Canis lupus familiaris: one gene and its partners. The protein of the gene in region 3 purifies or fractionates together with the protein of the main gene of each other region. This does not show direct contact. Links are inferred from orthologs where the notes say so. Each region holds a gene or a part of one and is shown on either strand. Other genes may lie near its edges.

Region 1 (4,956 bases), on a different chromosome or scaffold from region 3:
TTTTTAAAGATTTTATTTATTTATTCATGAGAGACACACACACAGAGAGAGAGAGAGAGAGAGAGAGAGGGGCAGAGACACAGGCAGAGGGAGAAGCAGGCTCCATGTAGGGAGCCCGACGTGGGACTTGATCCTGGGTCTCCAGGATCACACCCCGGGCCGCAGGCGGTGCTAAACCACTGCGCCACCGGGGCTGCCCTGTATAAACTTCTTGACTAACAATTGAGCAAGATCTATGAAAACTTTAAAAGGCCCAGAAGTACCACTTCTAGTTAATGTTCTACAAAAATCCTAGTCGTAGGCATAAAAAAAGCATGCACAGTGATGTCTCATTTCAACATTTGACACGGTTGCTAAAAATTAGAAGCAAATGTCAGTGGCCATCAACAAGAGATCTGGGTAAAAAAATGATGGCATATTCCTCATGAGGGCGCTCCCTTTGCTAGTAGCTAGGAGGAGACAGATCTATCCATATCAGAACAGAAATATATTCATGTTGTAGGATGACAGTATAGTCAAATCTCACAATTTATTCCAAGAAAAAAAAAGGAAAGTTTTCATGGCATAGAGAAAGGGCTCTAAGAAAGCACCCTCACATTTTATGTCTTGAGGGCATGGGATTAGAAGGAAGGAAGAACCACACTTCTTTACCATAAGCCTCCAATCACTGAATTTGTTCAAATGCAAGATTTCTTAAATATTCTTCAATAAACATCATCACTAAAGTAAAAAGACGCTTTTTACTCTTAAGTGTACATTATTTCACAAGTTTTTGGTTCAGGAACCCAAGATTATATTTTTTTTAATTCTCAGGTTTTTTAAAAAGATGAAATATTATTCACTGCTAAGCTCCCAGGACCTAGAATAGAGACACCAAGCAGACACTTATTTGCTAAATGAATAAGTGCTGTGCAATTATAAAACAGCTGCTCAGAGGGAACGAAGGATCCAGAAGCTGCTCCATTGACTCACACAGGAAAAAAATCACTTGCAAAGGTATCTTAACAATAAGGTCACCAATTTAAATGAATTAGGTTGTTTTTTTCTTTTTTATTTATTTATTTTTATTTATTTATTTATTTATTTTTTTAAGTGAGCCTTTGGACTGCCTGGGTGGCATAATGGTTTAGCGCCTGCCTTCCGCCCAGGGCATGACCTGGATCCTAGGATCAAGTCCACATCAGGCTCCCTGTATGGACTCGGCTTCTCTCTCTGCCTCTCACTCTCTCCCTGTGTCTCTCATGAATAAATAAAATCTTAAAAAAAAAAAAAAAGCCTTTAAAAAGCACACAAACTATCATCATATAAGCAATCTTCAAACTGCCAACTTGGCCAAGAACAGGGCTCCTTCCAAATCAATTTAATTCACAATGTGGCACATGCCTGGTCATAATACAAGTAATTAAAAGGTATTTGAAAACACTGTGGAAAAACACAGCTCCTGTAAGAGAAGAAACACCAGTAATGATCTTTTTCAAAGTTCTTATTTGAGAAGGTAAGTAGCTTTTCGTTTGGATTACTGAGACCACCTTCATCTGAACACTTCTAAAGACCAAACAAGCAGGCTATAATCTTCAGATCCTGAAGAATGCCCCAAAAGATGGCAGGCCTTTGATGACTACCGATGCTGATTTGGGAGAGGTGTGTGGGGTTGTGAGAGACATACTTGAACTGAAGAAATAGAGCAAGGTTTCAAGGGTTTCAGGAAAAGGCTTTTCACAGTTTTTTTTTTTTTTTAAGGAAAATGCAGAATACTTAACCAAATATTAATTCATTGGGAAGACTTATTTATATAAATAATGGCCAAACAGAGCTCAGCCTCCCCACGGGAAGGTACTCAGTACTTCTTTTGGGACACCTGAACCCAGAGGTCTACTTAACCCTAAAAATCCACATACTCCCTGGGTTTGTTTGTTTTTTTTTTTTTCCCAATCACTTAATTCCACTTTCAATCCCTTAATTCCAAAAATTCTCTTGAGAGGGAGATTTAAGCCTCCCTATGAAAACACACAAGGTTCCAAATAGGCTGTCACCTATACCCAAGAATACTTAGGAGAGAGAAAGGGTAAAATACCCTCCCAGATTAACATAAACGGTGTTTGGCAAGTGGGTGAGTTCTCTCAGCCCTCTCAGACTGCCGTCTGCAATCTTCTCTTTAACAGCTGGAAATAAAGTCTTCCAAGGCATTTCTCCCTCCAGCAATGACGGTGTAGATGAAGGCGTCGAAGTTCATTGGGAAATCAGCCACCTACAGTTCAGCTACTGAACTCTGGATCGAAGGTTCCAGGCCCTGGCGTTCACCCCCCGGACCCAGCCTTTCACTCGGGAGCCCGGGGCCCGTGTCTCGGTTCTCGGGGATCAGCCTTAGGTCCGAACAGGTGCGCAGTGAAGCACCTGACTCTGCCCATTTCAGGGCCCAGCAGAACGGGGCGGGGGGGGGGGGGGGGGCGAACTTTGGAAGCCATCGGATCGGAAAGCAACACAGGTGTGCACTCCGGCTGATAAAGAGCTACAGACGACCCTTACAATTAGCCTGTTTATGCGTCTGAATGAATCCCGCAGAACTTGGAGGGCGGCTGGGGTCCGGGCGGGGGCGGCGTAGCCCACCGCGGGCTGCCCAGGGCGGGCGGGGGAGGGGGGGGGAGGCGAGCTCCGCGCCGGGGCTCGGCTGCCCGCGCTGCTGCCCGGAGGCCGGGAGCGGGCGGGGGGGCGGCGGGGGAGGGGGAGGGGGAGGGGGAGGGGGCGAGCCGGGGCCCCGTCGCCCTGGCAACGGCGCGGGGGAGCAGCCCGGCCGCGGGCCCCGGGGGGCGGGGGGCAGCGAGGGACCCGCGCGGGGGGCGGCGGCGGCGGCGGCGGCCCGGGCCCTGCGCGCTCGGCGGCCGCCGTCCCGGCTCGGGGGCCCCGTCCGGCCGCGGCCGCGCCTACCGTGTATCCCCGCTCCAGGTCGCTCTCCTCGTAGCGAAAGGACGGGATGTAGACCTCCATGGCCGCGCCAGCCGGCAGGCGGAGGGCGAGCGGGGGGCGGGCGAGCGGCCGCAGCTCCGCCCCCGGCCGAGCGCCCCGCCCCGCCCCCGCCTCCCGCCTCCCGCCTCCCGCCTCCCGCCTCCCGCCGCCGCGCTCTCCGGGGCTCGGGGCGGGGCGGGGCCCTGCGGCCGGGCCCGGCCCTCGGGCGGCGGAGCCGAGCTGGGCCCGGAGGAGGCGGGGCCTCAAGGCCTGCGAGTCCGCCGAGGAGGGGTGCGCGCCCCCGCCCCGCCCCGCCCCGCCCCGCCCCGCCCCGCCCCGCCCCCGCCCGGCCCCTCGCAGGCCGCGGACGCCGCCCGAGCCGCTGCAGGCCGCGGAGCCGGGAAGCGCCCAGCCCTGGTGCCGCCGGCGCCCGCACCTCCTCCCGCCGCCTGGCACCGCCGCGAAGCCTCCGGCCTCACCGAGGCTCCTCTGGTGCCCCGGGTCTCGGCCGACGGGCCCGGGGACGCCGTGCCAACACCCACCCCGGGCGTCCGCGGATCGCGGGGGCGAACACTCTGCTTTCTTGTCGCAGTTTTAAGATGCTGCCTCGGAGGAGCTGTTGCGGGTTTCGACTGTAAGAGAAAACAGAAGACACACACACACACACACACACACACACACACACACACGGAAAAGAGAAAAAGGAAAGGCAGATGAGGGCCAGAATCTGCCTGTCGGGCCAGGACCAAATAACCTGAAATGACCTAAACGATGGAGTTCCACTTGAGGAAGCTTGATGACCAGGTTACCTTTGTAAACCCTGAGTGTCCTCCTTGGGTGAGTGCTTGGAGCAGAGTAGAAACTTGGGAAGTGACTTGTGGGTGAAGGAAAAGTTGGCCTGGGGCACTGAGGTTTGGGGCCGCAGGCGTCTGCGCTGGAGGCCGGGGGCACTGCAACTTGGTAAACTCTGAAATTTATGCTGAGTTCCTGAGTCAGGGAGAACAGAAGAATTAGGCCCTTTGCTTCAAGAACTTGCCTGATGTGGACTGCAAAAGCCTTCCGGCTTAGAGGCGTCTGAAGACCCATCCTCCAGGCCACACACTTGCAGCTCTGGGATCTGCCACTCGGAACTCCCTGCCTCAGCAGACAGCTGTGTCCTGTGACCAGCCCACCCTTCCTCTTCTGCCGGCCAGCACCATCCGCTGTTAGGAAACAGCTCTGTGGACACCGCGCTGAGTTTAGAGGCTGGGCCCTGGTTCCTTAAGCCTCTGGCGACTCTTAACAGTGTATTGTGGGATTTGTTTACCTGTCTGCCTCACCCAGTTGGTTTTAGGGCACGTACCTTAAATTTTTTTTTTTTATTTCCTGCTTGGCATATTGCCTGGCACATTTTTCTTGAAAGCTTTATATAAGCTTTTAAATATTTAATCTTTACAAAATCAGTAGAATGCAGCGGGTACTATAAAGCAGATACTGTTACATATCATGTCTCAGGACTAAGCTTTCTAATAACCCCACGAAGAAATGGTATGTGCAGTAGGACTTTAAAGGACTAAGAAGTAGTGTTTCTGTATTTCATTTTTAAAATAATAATGCAGAGGCTCTTGGCTGGCCCAATCAGTAGATCATACAACTCTTGATCTCGGCATCATGAATTTGAGCCTCACATTGGGTGTGGAGTTTATTAAGAAAAAAAAAATGTGTGAGTCTGAAAGTTTAAAATAAATAAATAAATAAAATAATTATGCCTGCTGATGGCAGAAAACCAAAACGATTTCCAGATGGGTTGAAACAGCTTGTTAAAGTCTCAGTGGGTAGGAGCACCCCGGCTGGCTCAGTCAGTAGAGCATGTGACTCCTGTCCTCCCAGTTTGAGCCCCACTGTTGGGTGTGGAGATTACTTAAAAATAAATCTTGGGGGGATCCCTGGGTGGCTCAGCGGTTTAGCACCTGCCTTCGGCCCAGGGCGTGTTCCTGGAGACCCGGGATCAAGTCCTCAAGTCGAGTCCCATGT
Region 2 (5,028 bases), on a different chromosome or scaffold from region 3:
ATTTTATGAAAAGGGAATTATTATTCTATTTTTAAAGATACTGTTAATACACTAAAATATATTACATTTATCTTTCCTCAGAATTTGCATTAATGACATCAATTCTGCTAATGAATGCTTTTATATACAGTTATTATATCATTTCCATAAGCACAGAAACATACTGCAATTTCTCCAATCTTTAAAAAAAAAAAAAGTCCTCTCGAGTTCACATCCCAATCCAGGAACCATCATTTTTCTGATCCTCTTACAGCAAAACTCCCCTAAAAGAGCTGAATTGTCCCCCAAATTCTCTCTTCTCAGTCTCTCTTTGGCATTCCAGAAACTACCGAAACCACTCCAGTCAAGACTATAAATGGCTTCAAAATCCTAAATACGATTTTCAGTTTTTAGTCTTCATCTTACTTGACCTATCAGCAACACCTGACATAGGTAAAGCACGCTGTTGGAAACATTTTCTTTACTTGGCCTCTAAGACACCAAAACTCTTCTGGGTTTTCTTCTTATCTTACTAGATATTCCTTCTCAATTTCCTATGCTAATTCTTCCACAGCTCCACAATGTCTATACATTAGAGTACTGAAGACTCAGTCCTTGGACCTACTCTGTTTTCTATCTACATTCACTTCCTTATGTTCTCATACAGTCTCATGGCTCCACTAGAATTTAACTTTAACAGGGTAGGGATTTTTTAGCTATTTTTGTTAACGCTGAATGCCCTAAAACAATGCCTGGCATGTGGTAGGTGCATGATAATATTTGTTCAATGAATGGATGAACGAATAAATGGCTTTAAATGGTATCTACAAACTGATAACCTTCCAATTTATATGTCCTGCCTGGAACTCTGTCCTGAGCACCCAATATATCCAACTGCCAATCTGCCATATCTACCTGGATGTGTAATAAACATCTCAAACTTAATCAAGTCCTAAAGAGAACTCCAATCACCCTCCCACTGGCTTCTGCAAACAACTTCACTTAACCCTAGGTCCTCAAACCAACAATTTTGAAATAATTTCCTAATCCCTTCTCTTTCTTTAATACCACATATTCAATATGCTAACATTGCGGATTCTCACTTCCAAAATATGCCCAGCATTTGACTACTCACCACATCCACCACTATCACTATGGTTCAAGCGGCTATCATCTCTCACCTGGATGAATGCAACAGCCCCCTGTTTCTTGTCCACCTTCCTCCCCCGCAATTCACAACTATGATCAGAGAAATTTTTTCAAACTACTATATACTTGACTTTCTGAGACATGTACTGGAAAAGGACAAGCATTTTTGTCTGTTTCTTTCCCTGCTACCTCCCTGGTGTTTAAAGCAGTGCCTGGTAGACAGTAGTGATCAATAACCTATCTGTAGGGCAGCCCCGAGGGCTCAGGGGTTTAGCGCCGCCTTCAGCCCAGGGCGTAATCCTGGAGTCCTGGGATCGATTCCCAGGTTAGGCTCCCTGCATGGAGCCTGCTTCTCCCTCTGCCTATGTCTCTGCCTCTCTCTCTCACTCTCTCTTTCTGGGTCTCTCATGAATAAATAATAAAATCTTAAAAAAAAAAAAAAACCCTATCTGTAAAACAAACGCTTTCATTTCCACCAGGGGGCCTAAAAATCATCTAGCCTGGGATTTCAGGAAAAGATCATAAAGCTTGTCGGAAGATTTTTTTTTTCAGTGCTCTAATCCCTAGAAGGCTTTATACTTTGCCTAGAAAGAAAAACTGTGCTTTGTCTCGTCAACCACAAGGAGGAGTTGAGAGGAACAGCTGAGCAAAGAGAAACCAGATGTTTGCCTTGCTTTTCCTACGGCGACCTCGAGGTGGAAGAAAAGTGGATTTGGAAGTGCCTCTACTGAATGAAAGATTTTCCCCACACTATGAGTTACCTAGACACACACAAACGTAAACACCCAAAGCCGCGATCCTTCCGAAAGCCGCCAAGAAGCCAAGAACATCAATCCAGCGGCCACTGAGAACCGGGAGGGCGTTTCTTGTGCTCCACCGCTAAGAACTGCCCCACAAAACCAGGGGAAGTTTCCAGTGGCGCGGAGGCACGTAACTCACACACGAAGGCCGAGGTGATCCAGGCTGCCAGCACGCTCCGGCAGGGAACTACTAAGCCAATTCTACGTACTACCCGAGGCACCTCTAATCCGAAACGGCCTAAGGACGGCGGCCCCGGGTCTAAATTCTCAGGTCCGGCCGGCTGCGGGTCAAACCCTGACCCGTTAAACACCGAAAGCCCCAGGTCCCACGGCATTTCCACTCACCGCCACCTGTTGATGCCCACATTGGAGGAGCCGGCGAACCAGGGGTCGAGGATGTAGACGCAGCGGATGGTGTCGGCGCCCTGGATGCACTCCTTCAGGGCGGGGTTGTCGTGAAGCCGGAGCCCCTTTCGGAACCAGTGCACGGCGTTCACCCCCATCCCGGGGGCGCGGCGGGTCCTCGCCCAGGTCCCCCCTCCCCAGATAGTCAAGGAAGGAAGGGCCGGCTCATCCCCGTCACCTCCGCTTCCACGGGGAACCGCCACACCCAAGCAGTGGGGACAGGGCGGCAGCGGGGGAAAGGGCCAACCGAGTCCGAGGAGGGGGCCGCAGAAGGAGCGGGCGCTGGAGGCGCAGCTGGAAGATGAATGGAGGTTGCCCAGTCAGCCGAGTGCGGGTGTGACGCCCTTTAGGAGCCGGCGCCCTCCGCCACCGCTCGCACGAGGCGCATCGCTCCGAGGCCTCGGGGCCCGGCAGTGAGCACGTTCCACGAGCCCGAGCCGCCCCGACGGCCCCGACCGGCGCCGGCAGCCCCAGGAGGTTCGTCACGGAAACCTCGCCCCACCGAGGCGGCCCCTGAGAAGAAAACGGCCCGCCTGAGGCCAGCCACCGAGAGGGAGGAGCGGAGATCCAGCCACCGTCGGCCACGCAGTCTCTCGGCCCGGGGAAGAGGAGCGAGCACCGAGGCGGTGGTCGAGGCCGCTGGACGGTTGCCGGCCGGTGACCGGTCCCGAGGCTGCCCGGGTGACTCCGCCGCCACCGCCGCGTCAGCGGCCTCGGCCCCGCCCCCGGCTCCTCATTGGAGGGCGCGCTCCCCACGTGACCCCCGGCACCTCACGTTTCTGAAGTGTGTTTACTACAGAGGCTCCGACTGAGGGATCGGCTCGCGATTCAGTCGCTTCTAGGCGGCGGCAGCTGCTTGATCTCAAAGCCGTCGACCCCTGCTCAGACTCTGAGCTCTTTTCCTCGGCCCCTTTGCTCCGCCGGCTGGTCGCCTAGAAGCGCGCGCGGTGACCACAGGCCCCATGTGAGGGACGGCTTAACCCCGCCCCTGGAGGCCGTGAGCGTCTCCTATTGGCTGAAGTTCTCTGAGACCCGGATGAGCACGGGGATGCGGGGAGCTCGCGGGCGCGCGCTCGGCTCCGATGGTGCGCGTGCGCTCTCGCTGCGTTCCAGAGGGAAGGAGGGCGCGGCCGGCGGAGGGAGCGCGCTCCGGGATTCCTCCTGTGGCGTTCCGGGAAGGCCTGCAACAGCCGGGGGTCCCCGGAGAGTCGGCGGAGGAGCCGGAAGGGGAATGAGCGCTGGACGCGTTGGAGGCAGAGAAGAAAGCTCCGTTAGACTTCAGGCCCAGCCTTGTGCAGCCTTCAGTGCAGCCTTGGCCGAAAAACCCGACTTCGGAGTGCGTGGAGCTGGCGCGCTCCTCCCCATTCTTCCGGCCCTCGCGGGGTGGGGGTGGCTCCCTGGGGCCCCACCTCCATTCTTCTGGCCCTCGTGGGGGTGGGGGTGGCTCCCTGGGACGTGTTCTGGGGAATAGGGGGAATGGGCAGGGCGGGTGCCAGGCACCCGGAATCCCCTCATGCTGTATGTGTATCTTCAACCTGTCGGCCCTGATTTCTCACCCTTGGTGTGATTAACAAGCCTCTTCGTAAAGAGGCCTTCGTCCACCTTTCTAGCGACAGTGAGCCTCAGGCCAGGGCATTCCTTTGGCCGTGTGATGCCCTTGTATTCGTTAGGCGATGGCTGAATGAACCAGGCACTGTAGGTACCCGAGGGAAATAGACAAAAGCCTCAGCATTGGTGGATTTTACGATTATGTCTCTTAACCTTCCCACGTGCTATTTTTTTCCTTTATAAAATGCTCTTCTTTAGAATGTGCTACTCACCACAGCAACCTTTGAGCTATCTAGTGTACTTCTACACAGGCCTTTAGACTCAGATGAAGTGCTACCTAATTTGCAAAAATATTCCTGTCGTCCAGAGCAGATTTAGGACAGACACCCATCTCCCCAGGTGTGTCTCTGATACATCACCCCACATACTATTGTGAAAAGTAAATGAAGGGAACCTACTTTAATACCTAGCATGAAGTAGGTGTTCAATAATATTTATTATCATAATAATGTATCTCTGATTTCCTCTAAAGTGTGACTTCTCAAGGACAGGGTGGCTGTCCAGTTTGTTTTTTGCACCATCAATACACAGTAAAGAGCCTGACACATATGCACTGCAATGTTTATTGAATGAATGAGTGAATGAATGAATACTCTCTGCCACCAATGTGTCCAGCAAGGTTAAAAGGAGGAAAGATAGGGCAATTGTTGAGTTGTGTCCTAAAATTCATATAATCCCTAGTACCTGTGAAGGTGACCTTACTTGGAAATAAGGTCTTTGTGGATGATCAAGTTAAGATGATGTCATTAAGGTGGGCCCTCATGCAATATGACTAGCGTCTTTATAAATTTGGACACAGAGGCAGACCCACACACAAAGAGAATGGCTTGTGAAGATTGGAGTCATGGTGCCATAAGCCAAGAATTATTCAAAGCTAGAAGAATGACCTGGAACAGATCCCTCTCTAACACCTTCAGAAGTGGCATGACCCTGGAAACACTTTGATTTCAGATTTCCAGCCTCCAGAAGGATGAGACAATAAATTCCTATTGTTCTAAGCCACTCATTTTGTGGTACTTTGTTATAGCAGCTCTAGCAAACTAATACAACAATACTGTAATTTTAATCATGTAGTGAGCCAATGTGT
Region 3 (4,379 bases):
TGGAGACATCCAGATGAGAAAGAGCAGTTGATGTCTAAGCAGGACCTGGCACTCTACTGCATTTTGAGAAGAACATAATGTCTCCCCAAGTCATTTACCAACACATCTAAGCAAGGTTTATTCCTGCTTTTCCAGGCGTTTAATCCACCATTGCCAGCAAACTTGCGGCAGGTAGAAGCATCTGGGGCATGGTGCTGACTGCCAGGCAGGGCAGCTGCATGCCTCCTCAGGAGCAGAGCTGCTATGCAGCAGTGGCCTGGGCACGACGATGCTCAGGTTCAAATCTCTGTCCTCGGGCAAGTTCTGCGTATCGATTTCCTCAGTCAGGACACAAGGCTGGCTGACATGTTTCTGCACAGGACTGTAGTGGCAGCAGACATGCCAGTGTCTGTAAGTGGAGACCAACTCCTCCCCTAGGCGGCCTGCTTGCCTAAGTGCCGCTCTCTCTAGCCAGGCACAGCACCACTGCCACAGGCCAGGCAGTATCTAGACAACCCTGCACAGCAAGCTACAGAGTGCACGGCAGTCTCAGCTCCCTCCTATGATGTATCCGCACATGCAAGCAAGCCCAGGATGCAGCATTAAAAGCACCTAAGAACCACAGTCAGAGATACTTGCCGTCCCTTCACCACAACCAAGTGGTCTGTGTGTATTTGCATGAGATGTAATGCAGAAGGCTGACCTTCAGCAAGAGGACCCCTGCATCCTGTCTGCAGCCCCAGCGGCTTCATCTTGGTTAGGAGGAATTCACACAACACTACCAGAATCATGGACTCTGCGTTTCTGGACATCATCTCTTTTCAAAAATTGGTATCTTTACCTTTTTTTTTTTTAAAGCACCTTGATAATATCCATTAAGTGCACATTTGAAACAGGAATAAAACTCAATCTACAGGTGGAGGATGGCAAGAAGGGAGAAGATCCTAGGTTTTTAGGGTCCGAGAGAAGGGGCACAAATCTTAACGCAAGGATTCAAAGTGAGATGCAATGCTGCAGCTTGGGCCCTCAGGCCTGCCGCAGACGATTGTGGTTCAGGGACAGAGAAATCCCATCCTGAAGGGAATAAAGTCTTCTCTGTCCAGTCTCTCTTATCCAATTCCTATTGGGGTATCGGCTGACTGTCTTCTTTCCTTTTGCCCTCTGGCCCTCCAGCTTGCAAATTCTCAGAGATGCTGCTTGTTAACACTCAACACAACTTTTAACTGGAAGCTTTATTCAACCCCCAGCATCAGGCCCTCCCCAACCACGAAGGCCACCTCCCGAGTCATCTCCTTTTCATCACCACCTGTTAAGCTGTGTAGACTGTCCTTTTTTTTTTTTTTTTTAATTTTTATTTATTTATGATAGTTACAGAGAGAGAGAGAGAGGCAGAGACACAGGCAGAGGGAGAAGCAGGCTCCATGCACCGGAAGCCCGATGTGGGATTCGATCCTGGGTCTCCAGGATCGCGCCCCGGGCCAAAGGCAGGCGCCAAACCGCTGCGCCACCCAGGGATCCCTGTGTAGACTGTCCTTGATGCCTAAGAAGCCGGCCTTCTGCTGAGGGTCACCAGAGGGCAGACAAAATGGCTGGGTCCTCTGCTGACCACTCCCTGGGGCCCACAGGGGCCAGGACATTTTTACCAATGGCCTCCTCAGGCCCCCAGAAAGCCGAGATGGGACACCCTGGACCTCCTCTGTGAAGTGTCCTGAAGGACTGTTTGTGTTGCTCTGATATGTATGAGAGACATGTGTTGCTGTGTAAAGCAAGAAATGTTGGTTGCTAGTAGCAACACAGATTAAACCACTTTTGTGGAGGAAAGATGCCAGAGTGAAATTAATCCTCCCTTCTCACCTGAAAAAACGCAATTCAGACTCTGAAGACAAGCTTTCATTTGCAAGGCACCGAGAACACTCCAAACTATGAAAGTACCACAGAAGCTTCTGCCACGAAGGGTCTCCTAACAGGATGAAGTGCAGCCATTCTTCAGACACAAAGCCTTCTTCCCAAGGGGAGCTTCTTGGGGCAAAGCACGGACATGTCCTTCCTAATGCTGAGGTGTCTTCAGGACTCTGAGACGCCCAAGAAAAGCCCCGCCTGCTCCCTTAGCTGAACTATCTTAAAGTCCAGAGAATTCTAAAAGTTAAGATCAGACATCAGATACCCTTAGGCCCAAGAGAAGGTTTCGAAGAATTGGGACAATAATTGAGTTAGAAAGGGACACAGAGATCACAGAGTTCAAACTCTGTTTCACTCAGGAGCGTCTGAAGGGACTCCCCACCAAAGCTATGAGCAAACCATGTGACCGAGGTGGCATACCTAACAATCAGGAGTGTGCCTGAAAAATCACAATTTACACAAACCCTGAGTTCAAAGACACGACTAGTTAACATGAGGCTACGGAAAAGCAGACAATCATGCTTTATGTTGAACGAGGCCTTCAGTAGGCCTCTTGGTAGCTGAAGGAAGCCACATGACTGAGTCACATGTATGGACGTTTCCCTCCCTTTCCCAAATAAACCAGAGGCTATGCTTCATGATCCATTCTCCCTCATCAAATACAACCCTGGTTTTCTTTTGAACAGGTAAAGGGCATACCTCCTCCCTGCATCATTTTGTAGATTTTGCTCTCAATGTGGAGCTGAGGGTGTTTGGTTTTGACACATTCAAGCTTGATGGCAACTTCTTCTCCTGCAGCAATGTCCGTACCTTGGCAAAAGAGAAAAACCACAAACATTAATAATCTGGTGTCCACCACCTAACGCAATACTATAACACACCACAGACCTTCTGCTCCGCTTTCCCCTGTGAGATGGGTGTCGGTGGTTGACAAACCCTGTGGAAAAACCATCATTACTTTCACTTTTTAAGCAGGAAGTCTTTGATATGTATAGAAAAGTCTTATTTAGTATTCCCTCACCCACTTCCATATGTCCCACTCTGATCACGTCAATAGGGGACCCAGAGACAGGGCAGTGCATTTCTCTCTGCAAGGACTCCCATCTTTTCTGCCCTGAACTTTCCTGTCCCACCAGCTGGTGGTTGGCCCCTGTATTCACCTACCCAGGGCGAAGCAGTTCCAGGGTGACTGTGTGTGCTCCCCATTTCTCCATGCTGCCTGGATAGGCCTGTGTGGGTGGGTGGGTGTGGGCCTTCCTTTTTACCAAACACCCACGGCTTCAGTCCACCCACCCTGGGTGTTGAGCCGCATAAATCTCAGAACAGTTAAGGCACTTCTCCAGTGGAGCTGGTTCCCCCAAGGACACTCTGCAACCTTCTCCCTTCCTGGGGAATAGGACACTACTGTGCATTTCTTACTGATACTGGACCAGAAGGGTGGACTCCCCTTTAGAGCCCAAATGACACTTATGCAACATGTACCTGTCACATACCTTTTGTTAGTTTTATGCTAAAACTAACAAAACATCAGCTAATACCTCCTGATAACAGCCTATGTTCTATCTCTGCTTTACTTCAATTAAGGAAATGCAGATATGACAACGCCCTGCCCCAGGCTTCACACACAAATGCTCCTGAGCTCCCATTTGACCCAAAGCTGTGCCCATGAAACCTTCCTCAAGAAGCTTTAGCTGAAGAGAACAGGGAAGAGTCTTAACCTACACCTAGCTCTCCCCCAGGTGCCTTGTAAGTACAGGTGTCCCTTATCTGCAGTCAAACTCGGTCTGCAGACAGATGCTCCTGTGCCTGCCCTCTGGTCAGGTCAGCAGGAGCCTCACGCCACGTCACACACCCGCATCACTTCCCTCCCGCCCCTCGTCACATCGGCACTTCACCACTTCACAGGGTCACAAGAAAGGGGAGTACAGCTCAGTAGGATTTTTGTGAGACCCTAGTTACAGAACTTTATTTACAATATGTTGCTATGATTGTTCTATTTTATTATTAGCTATTGTTGTGAATCTCTCACTATACGTAATCTATAAACATTATCATGAGTAAGTATGTCTAGGAAGAAACAAGGTATACGTAGGGTTTGGTATTGTCCATGGTTTTAGGCATCCCGTATGGGTCATGAAATATGTCCCCTGTGGATAAGGATGTCTGCTGTACAAACCAGTTTAATCCTTCTCAGCAGTATGTTTATCTGTATTGGTTCCAGCAGTTCGACAGGCCCGGGACATTTCCTTCCCAAGGAGATCGTAGCATTGGACAAAGCAACCTCAACTGACTGGTTTCTCTCTCCCCAAGTTCAGGGGAAGAAGTGCAGTCTATTTCACAAGACGCTTGCAAGGGAGGATGCGTTAACAGTTACAAAGCACTTTGAGATTCCCAGACAAAGGCATTAAAACCACAAGCAGCCTGCAGGAACCCTGCCTGCTGTTGTTCATGTGTCCACTAAACACCTAAGAACCCCCAACGTCTCCCCCAGACTACCCAGA
Region 4 (5,130 bases), on a different chromosome or scaffold from region 3:
GAGCCTTCTCTGTAGTCTTAAAAGCAAGGTAGCAGCATTTAACACACTTTTACAAATCAAAAATTCACCCCAAATCCTACTGTACCTCTTCTCTCACTGTGCATATTACCCAGTGTCTGTTTCTCCCACTAAACTGTGAGCAACTCGAGAACAGAGACTGTCACCATCTCTAAATTTCCAACTGTTGGTATAAAACAGGAGTTGAGTTCAATATAGGCTTGCTGAATGACTTTACAAAATTTTTAAGTCCTAATCTAAGAGCACACAAGTTAAAACAATAATATATACACTAATTTTGATGATGCTGTTTTCATTCTATTTTTCATATTTTTATTGGTCATCAATCTTAATGGCTGCGTAATATTCCGATGCACTCACATGATCTGAAAACAATGATTCTAATTCTCTCCTTGTTTCCAGTGTTTTTATATTGTACAGCTAATGTTCCTGCAAAGAAATCTTGCCTTATAGATCTGACAGATTTCTCACTAGAAAAACTGGGCTCAACTCCAGAAGACAATAATCCTCTACAATATAAGTGACTATTAAAGGAAAAAGATTTTCACTCCATAAGCAGAGTACTGAAGGACAGACAAACACACACACACACACACAAAGAAACTAGAATTTTTTTTTTTTTTGGCCAAATCAATTTAAATAAATCCTGTTATACGTGTTGTCCAAAGCAAAGAATATTTTGTAGGACTACTTCGTACATATCTTTAGGAAGATAATTCTGGGGGCAGGCAATCCAAACTTTGAATTAATGAAATGTCTAATTAGAACGTCAATGCCTCCAAAGGAGGCACACACTTTATCCACCTTCTTGGATTCAGAGCTTGCTCAGACTTTCAGGTTGCAGAAATGTAAGCAGCTCTGGGCTTCTTAAGATTCCTTGATTCCCCTTTTCCTCCATTTACAGATTTTAAAGTAAATATCTACCTGGTAACATAAAAGCCCTCAAGCTTTGATCTCAGATAGAAGGAACTTACGGGAAAGCCAACTGTATTTCAGAAATATGAAGCTAAGTTATATGCATACTCATCTAAGAAACTTGGGTTGAGCATCTACTACCGCATCTCTGCAGTATAGCCCTTCAATGATTACTGAAATCATGGACCCCTGTCCCTTTTATTTATTTGGAGGAAGGAAAAGAGAGGAAGAAAGAAAAAACAACAATTAACTATATTATAATTTAATTGTGGTCCAAGTATGACTGTTAACAATTATCTCTAATAAGACGGTATATAATCTATAAAAGATAACGTCGTCATAACGGAGGATGGGGGGGGAGGCTTGGAGACCAGCTAGAAGACAGACTCGACTATGTAATTTTTAAAAGAAATATGCTATTTAATTTAGGTCTCGTCTATCAAATTTTTCAGAAGGTCGGTGAGGAGTATCTGTTTATAGTCAGGAATCCTTGGCTTTACAGGTTTGTTTGTTTTTTTTTTTCTTTCACGCAGACATAAGATACGGACTCACTGGAACGCATACATCGATTCGATCACTGAGAGCAGGAATTCCATAGGTGTTGCTTAGAACATGGTACCTTCCGTCGCCCGCAGTGGGTTCAGACTGCACTACCGTTCCACACACCACAGAAGCGCCTGCCACGACAAAGACCTCCAAACACAAACGCAGAACAGAACGCTGTGTCTAAAGCGCCCCCGACGCCAACTCCGCAGCTGGCACTTGTGGCACACGGAGGCCACCGCCAAGGCAGCTGCCACAGGCCAATCGCGTACCCAGGGGTGCCAGCCTGCCACCGAGAAGGCTAAGCTGGTGAGCGACGCGCAAATCCCCCACCAGATAAAGAGAAGCCTCGATCCCCACCCCGGGAAGCACAATGCCTGCAACTAGGCAGAGAACTCCCTCGAACAGTGAAAGGCTGGACGGTTAGAAGCAGCGAATCCCAGCCTCCGGCAAGGCAGGAAAGGAAGGGTTTTATTTGGGCATTCACAAGGCAGAGCCGCACCACCCAACGTTCACGGAAGTATCATCCGCTAGGCGGTCACACCAAGCGTTTTCAACTGGAAAAAGGAGAAGAGGGCGAAGGGGAAAGTCGGGTCCTGCGGCAGCTCCCGGCCGGGCGGCGAGCCGGGGCTGCGGCGACCTCGGCCTCCCAGGCCCTCTCCCGCCCCTCTCCGGCCACCGCCTCCCACCGCGGGCCCCAGCAGCCTCCGGGGCTCTTACCTTCGCTTTGCCGGCCTCCAGCTTCCTCTGTCTCTCCTCGTCCTCCATGGCCTCTGACGGGAAGGCTGGGGGAAGACAGGGAGTGGGTCCGGGGTAAAAACGGAAGGTCGCTGCCGAGGGACGTGGGACAGCAAGCCCCGCCGCTTCGGAGGCAGGGCCGGGCCCGGCGCCCCCCGCCCCCCCGCCCGGCGTGGAACCAGTCTCCGCGCTCACTGGCCGACCGCCCTCCGCCGCCCGGGGAACGCCGTCACCGCCGCCGCCATCTTCGTCTCCACGTAAACACACGGCAAGGCGGGAGTGGAAGGGGGGGGCACGTCGGCCCGCGCAGCCGCCGGCCGCCCCGCCGCTCCGGGCAGGTGCGCCGGCCGCTCCTGCAGCGCCGCCCCCCCAGCCCCGCGCCTGCCGCGCCGCCCCGCCCCCGCCGGGCTGCCCCGGCCCGGCCCCCTCGGCCCCCGCTCGGACCCCGGCGGCCGCAGGCGCAACGCCCGCGGGGGTGAGCGCCCTTCCCGGGGGACGAGCGCCCGCCAGGTGGCGGCGGCCTGGCTGAGGCGCCGGGAGGGAGGGGGTGTGCCAGGGGCGCCGGCAGGATTCCGCCCACCGCGCTAGGGACTCGGTGGTCGCTGTTAAAACACTGAGATTTTTCCAGTTACAGAAATAATGTATACCTAACGGCGCGACCGGTGACCGATGAAAAGCCCCAAGGAAAAGCCTGGGGTGGGGCGGAGAGGAAACGACCCGCCGCACGTGAGTTTCCCAGCCTGGATCGACTCCTCCAGTGGAGGAACTGGGAGATGCGCCAGCAGCTCTCCTTACTCCTGCGGCTGAACGTCCCGCCCTCCCCACGCGGGCCCGCCCAATCTCCCGTCCATCCTTCAAGGCCCACCTACACGCCGCGCGAACGGCTCCTCTGGTCCCTTTGTTCCCTCCACCGCAGCTAGGAGTATCCAGGCGTGCTTACTCCCTTTCCACTCCTCCTTGGCCTCCCTCTTAGCAATGACGTCTTGAAAGGAGCCTAGGCTTCGGACAAAAGCCAGTATACACTTTCTAGCTTGGATGACCTTGAACAACTTACCTATCCTCCCTCAGCTTACCTGGAAGTTTTGGAGGGGTCGTTAAGATATGTGAGTCCATATATGGGACTGCCTCTGACATGTTAAAAATGTCCTTAATTAATGGTAGTTTTCCCCCCTCTCCTTGTGTTTCCTTTATGTACTCTGCATGATACTTTAGTAATTTATGCACCACTTCTTCACCTCATACGCTAGATTCCCTGATGGCAGACTGTCTTGCTTATTTTGGCATTACTAAAATGACTAGCATAGTTTTGCACCCGATAAAACTTGTTAGATTGAACTGAGCCATTTTAATAACTTTCATCTCTTCCCTAAATACTTCCTTTTTTCTCCCCACCCTTTTACTCTCAAATCCATTTTTGAGGTGAGCTCATGTTAATGTCTCAGGTTGATTACTCAGGCTGATCATGGTTCTCTGTTTTGAGCCAGGTTGGACTAAAACACTGGCAGGTGTGAACTGAAATAAGCTATAAAATCAATCATAGAAGGGGTGCTAGTGAAAATAGTGTTGAAAAATAAAAAGATTAACAATCTAAAGTCTACCACAACCAGAAGAATAGGTTAATTTTTTTTTAACTTAAATTCAATTTGCCAACGTATAGTATAACACCCAGTGCTCATCCCATCAAGTGCCCTCCTCAGTGCCTGTCACCGGAAGACTAGGTTTAAACAGCTCTGATTTATAAATTCTTTGTTGTTGTTGTTTTTAAGATTTTATTTATTCACTCTAGAGAGAGAGAAAGGGAGAGAGTAAGGCAGAGACATGGGATCCCTGGGTGGCGCAGCGGTTTAGCGCCTGCCTTTGGCCCACGGCCCGATCTGGAGACCCGGGATCGAATCCCACGTCGGGCTCCCGGTGCATGGAGCCTGCTTCTCCCTCTGCCTGTGTCTCTGCCCCTCTCTCTCTCTCTCTCTCTCTCTCTCACACTCTCTCTCTCTCTCTGACTACCATAAATGAAAAAAATATATATATATATAAAAGAAAGGCAGAGACACAGGCAGGGGGAGAAGCAGGCCCTCTGCAAGGAGCTCATGGTGGAACTTGATCCCAGATCCTGGGATCATTCCCTGAGCCGAAGGCAGACGCCCAACCGCCAATGTACCCAGGCGGTTTATAAATTCTTAGATTTAAAAAAGACTATATTCTCAAACTCCACGATGCATACATATTTGTACCATTTGTAACATCCAAGTATATACTGACCTATTATCTTAAACTGAATTGGGCAATAGATGAGACATCTTACCATAGGAATTAAAGAATTAAGCCAGTAAACGGAGAAGTGATTTAGTCATTCGCCAAGCTAAGAGTCAAACTAGGACTACAACCAGGTGTTCTAATATTGCAGTGATTTAAATACTGCCTGGATTGAGGGATTATGTTTCTAGATTCTAATTGCCTAAAAGGAAGCCCTAGGTTATCTGACAAGATATATATTTGTTAATAGACACTGCTTTCTCAGTGACTAAGGAAGTCAGCTGTTTGTTCCAGTACGTGCTAAAAATATTCAAAAACCTTCTAAAGCCACAAGATTATTTCAACCTTTCCCTTCACTAAGACCAATCATAGACACCTGTTACATATATATGATCAATAAAAGTTGAAAGAGAGACCCCTGGGTGGCTCAGCGGTTGGGCGCCTGCCTTCAACTCAAGCCGTGGTCCCGGGATTCGGGATCAAGTCCTGCATCGGGCTCCCTGTGAGGAGCCGGCTTCTCCCTCTGCCTATGTCTCTGCCTCTTTGTCTCAGTCTGTGTCTCTCATGAATAAATACATAAAATCTTTAAAAAAAAAAAAAGAGTTTAAAAAAATTTTTAAAATGAAAGTTGAAAGTTAATTGTGTGTTGACTTCTGTTAGAAG

Evidence for each region. The genes of interacting proteins can lie anywhere in the genome.
Region 1: the proteins of CSNK1D (region 3) and SNX24 purify together in Homo sapiens (affinity purification with mass spectrometry; 3 studies listed by BioGRID and IntAct, counting the BioPlex papers as one, with this or other methods). This does not show direct contact. The link is inferred for Canis lupus familiaris from reciprocal best matches to the Homo sapiens genes CSNK1D and SNX24.
Region 2: the proteins of CSNK1D (region 3) and CRY1 purify together in Homo sapiens (affinity purification with mass spectrometry; 3 studies listed by BioGRID and IntAct, counting the BioPlex papers as one, with this or other methods). This does not show direct contact. The link is inferred for Canis lupus familiaris from reciprocal best matches to the Homo sapiens genes CSNK1D and CRY1.
Region 4: the proteins of CSNK1D (region 3) and AKAP9 purify together in Homo sapiens (affinity purification with mass spectrometry; 4 studies listed by BioGRID and IntAct, counting the BioPlex papers as one, with this or other methods). This does not show direct contact. The link is inferred for Canis lupus familiaris from reciprocal best matches to the Homo sapiens genes CSNK1D and AKAP9.

What each region holds. Positions count from the first base shown.
Region 1 is NC_049232.1:12,602,319-12,607,274, reverse strand, and holds the start of SNX24 (sorting nexin-24), read right to left. Parts: upstream 3,054-4,956; 5' UTR 2,986-3,053; coding exon 2,926-2,985; intron 1-2,925. UniProt on the Homo sapiens protein: May be involved in several stages of intracellular trafficking.
Region 2 is NC_049231.1:32,733,184-32,738,211, reverse strand, and holds the start of CRY1 (cryptochrome-1), read right to left. Parts: upstream 3,054-5,028; 5' UTR 2,432-3,053; coding exon 2,274-2,431; intron 1-2,273.
Region 3 is NC_049230.1:906,132-910,510, reverse strand, and holds part of CSNK1D (casein kinase I), read right to left. Parts: intron 2,689-4,379; coding exon 2,578-2,688; intron 1-2,577. UniProt on the Homo sapiens protein: Essential serine/threonine-protein kinase that regulates diverse cellular growth and survival processes including Wnt signaling, DNA repair and circadian rhythms. It can phosphorylate a large number of proteins.
Region 4 is NC_049235.1:17,541,699-17,546,828, reverse strand, and holds the start of AKAP9 (A-kinase anchor protein 9), read right to left. Parts: upstream 3,054-5,130; 5' UTR 2,862-3,053; intron 2,479-2,861; exon of another isoform or gene 2,262-2,478; 5' UTR 2,245-2,261; coding exon 2,197-2,244; intron 1-2,196. UniProt on the Homo sapiens protein: Scaffolding protein that assembles several protein kinases and phosphatases on the centrosome and Golgi apparatus. Required to maintain the integrity of the Golgi apparatus. Required for microtubule nucleation at the cis-side of the Golgi apparatus.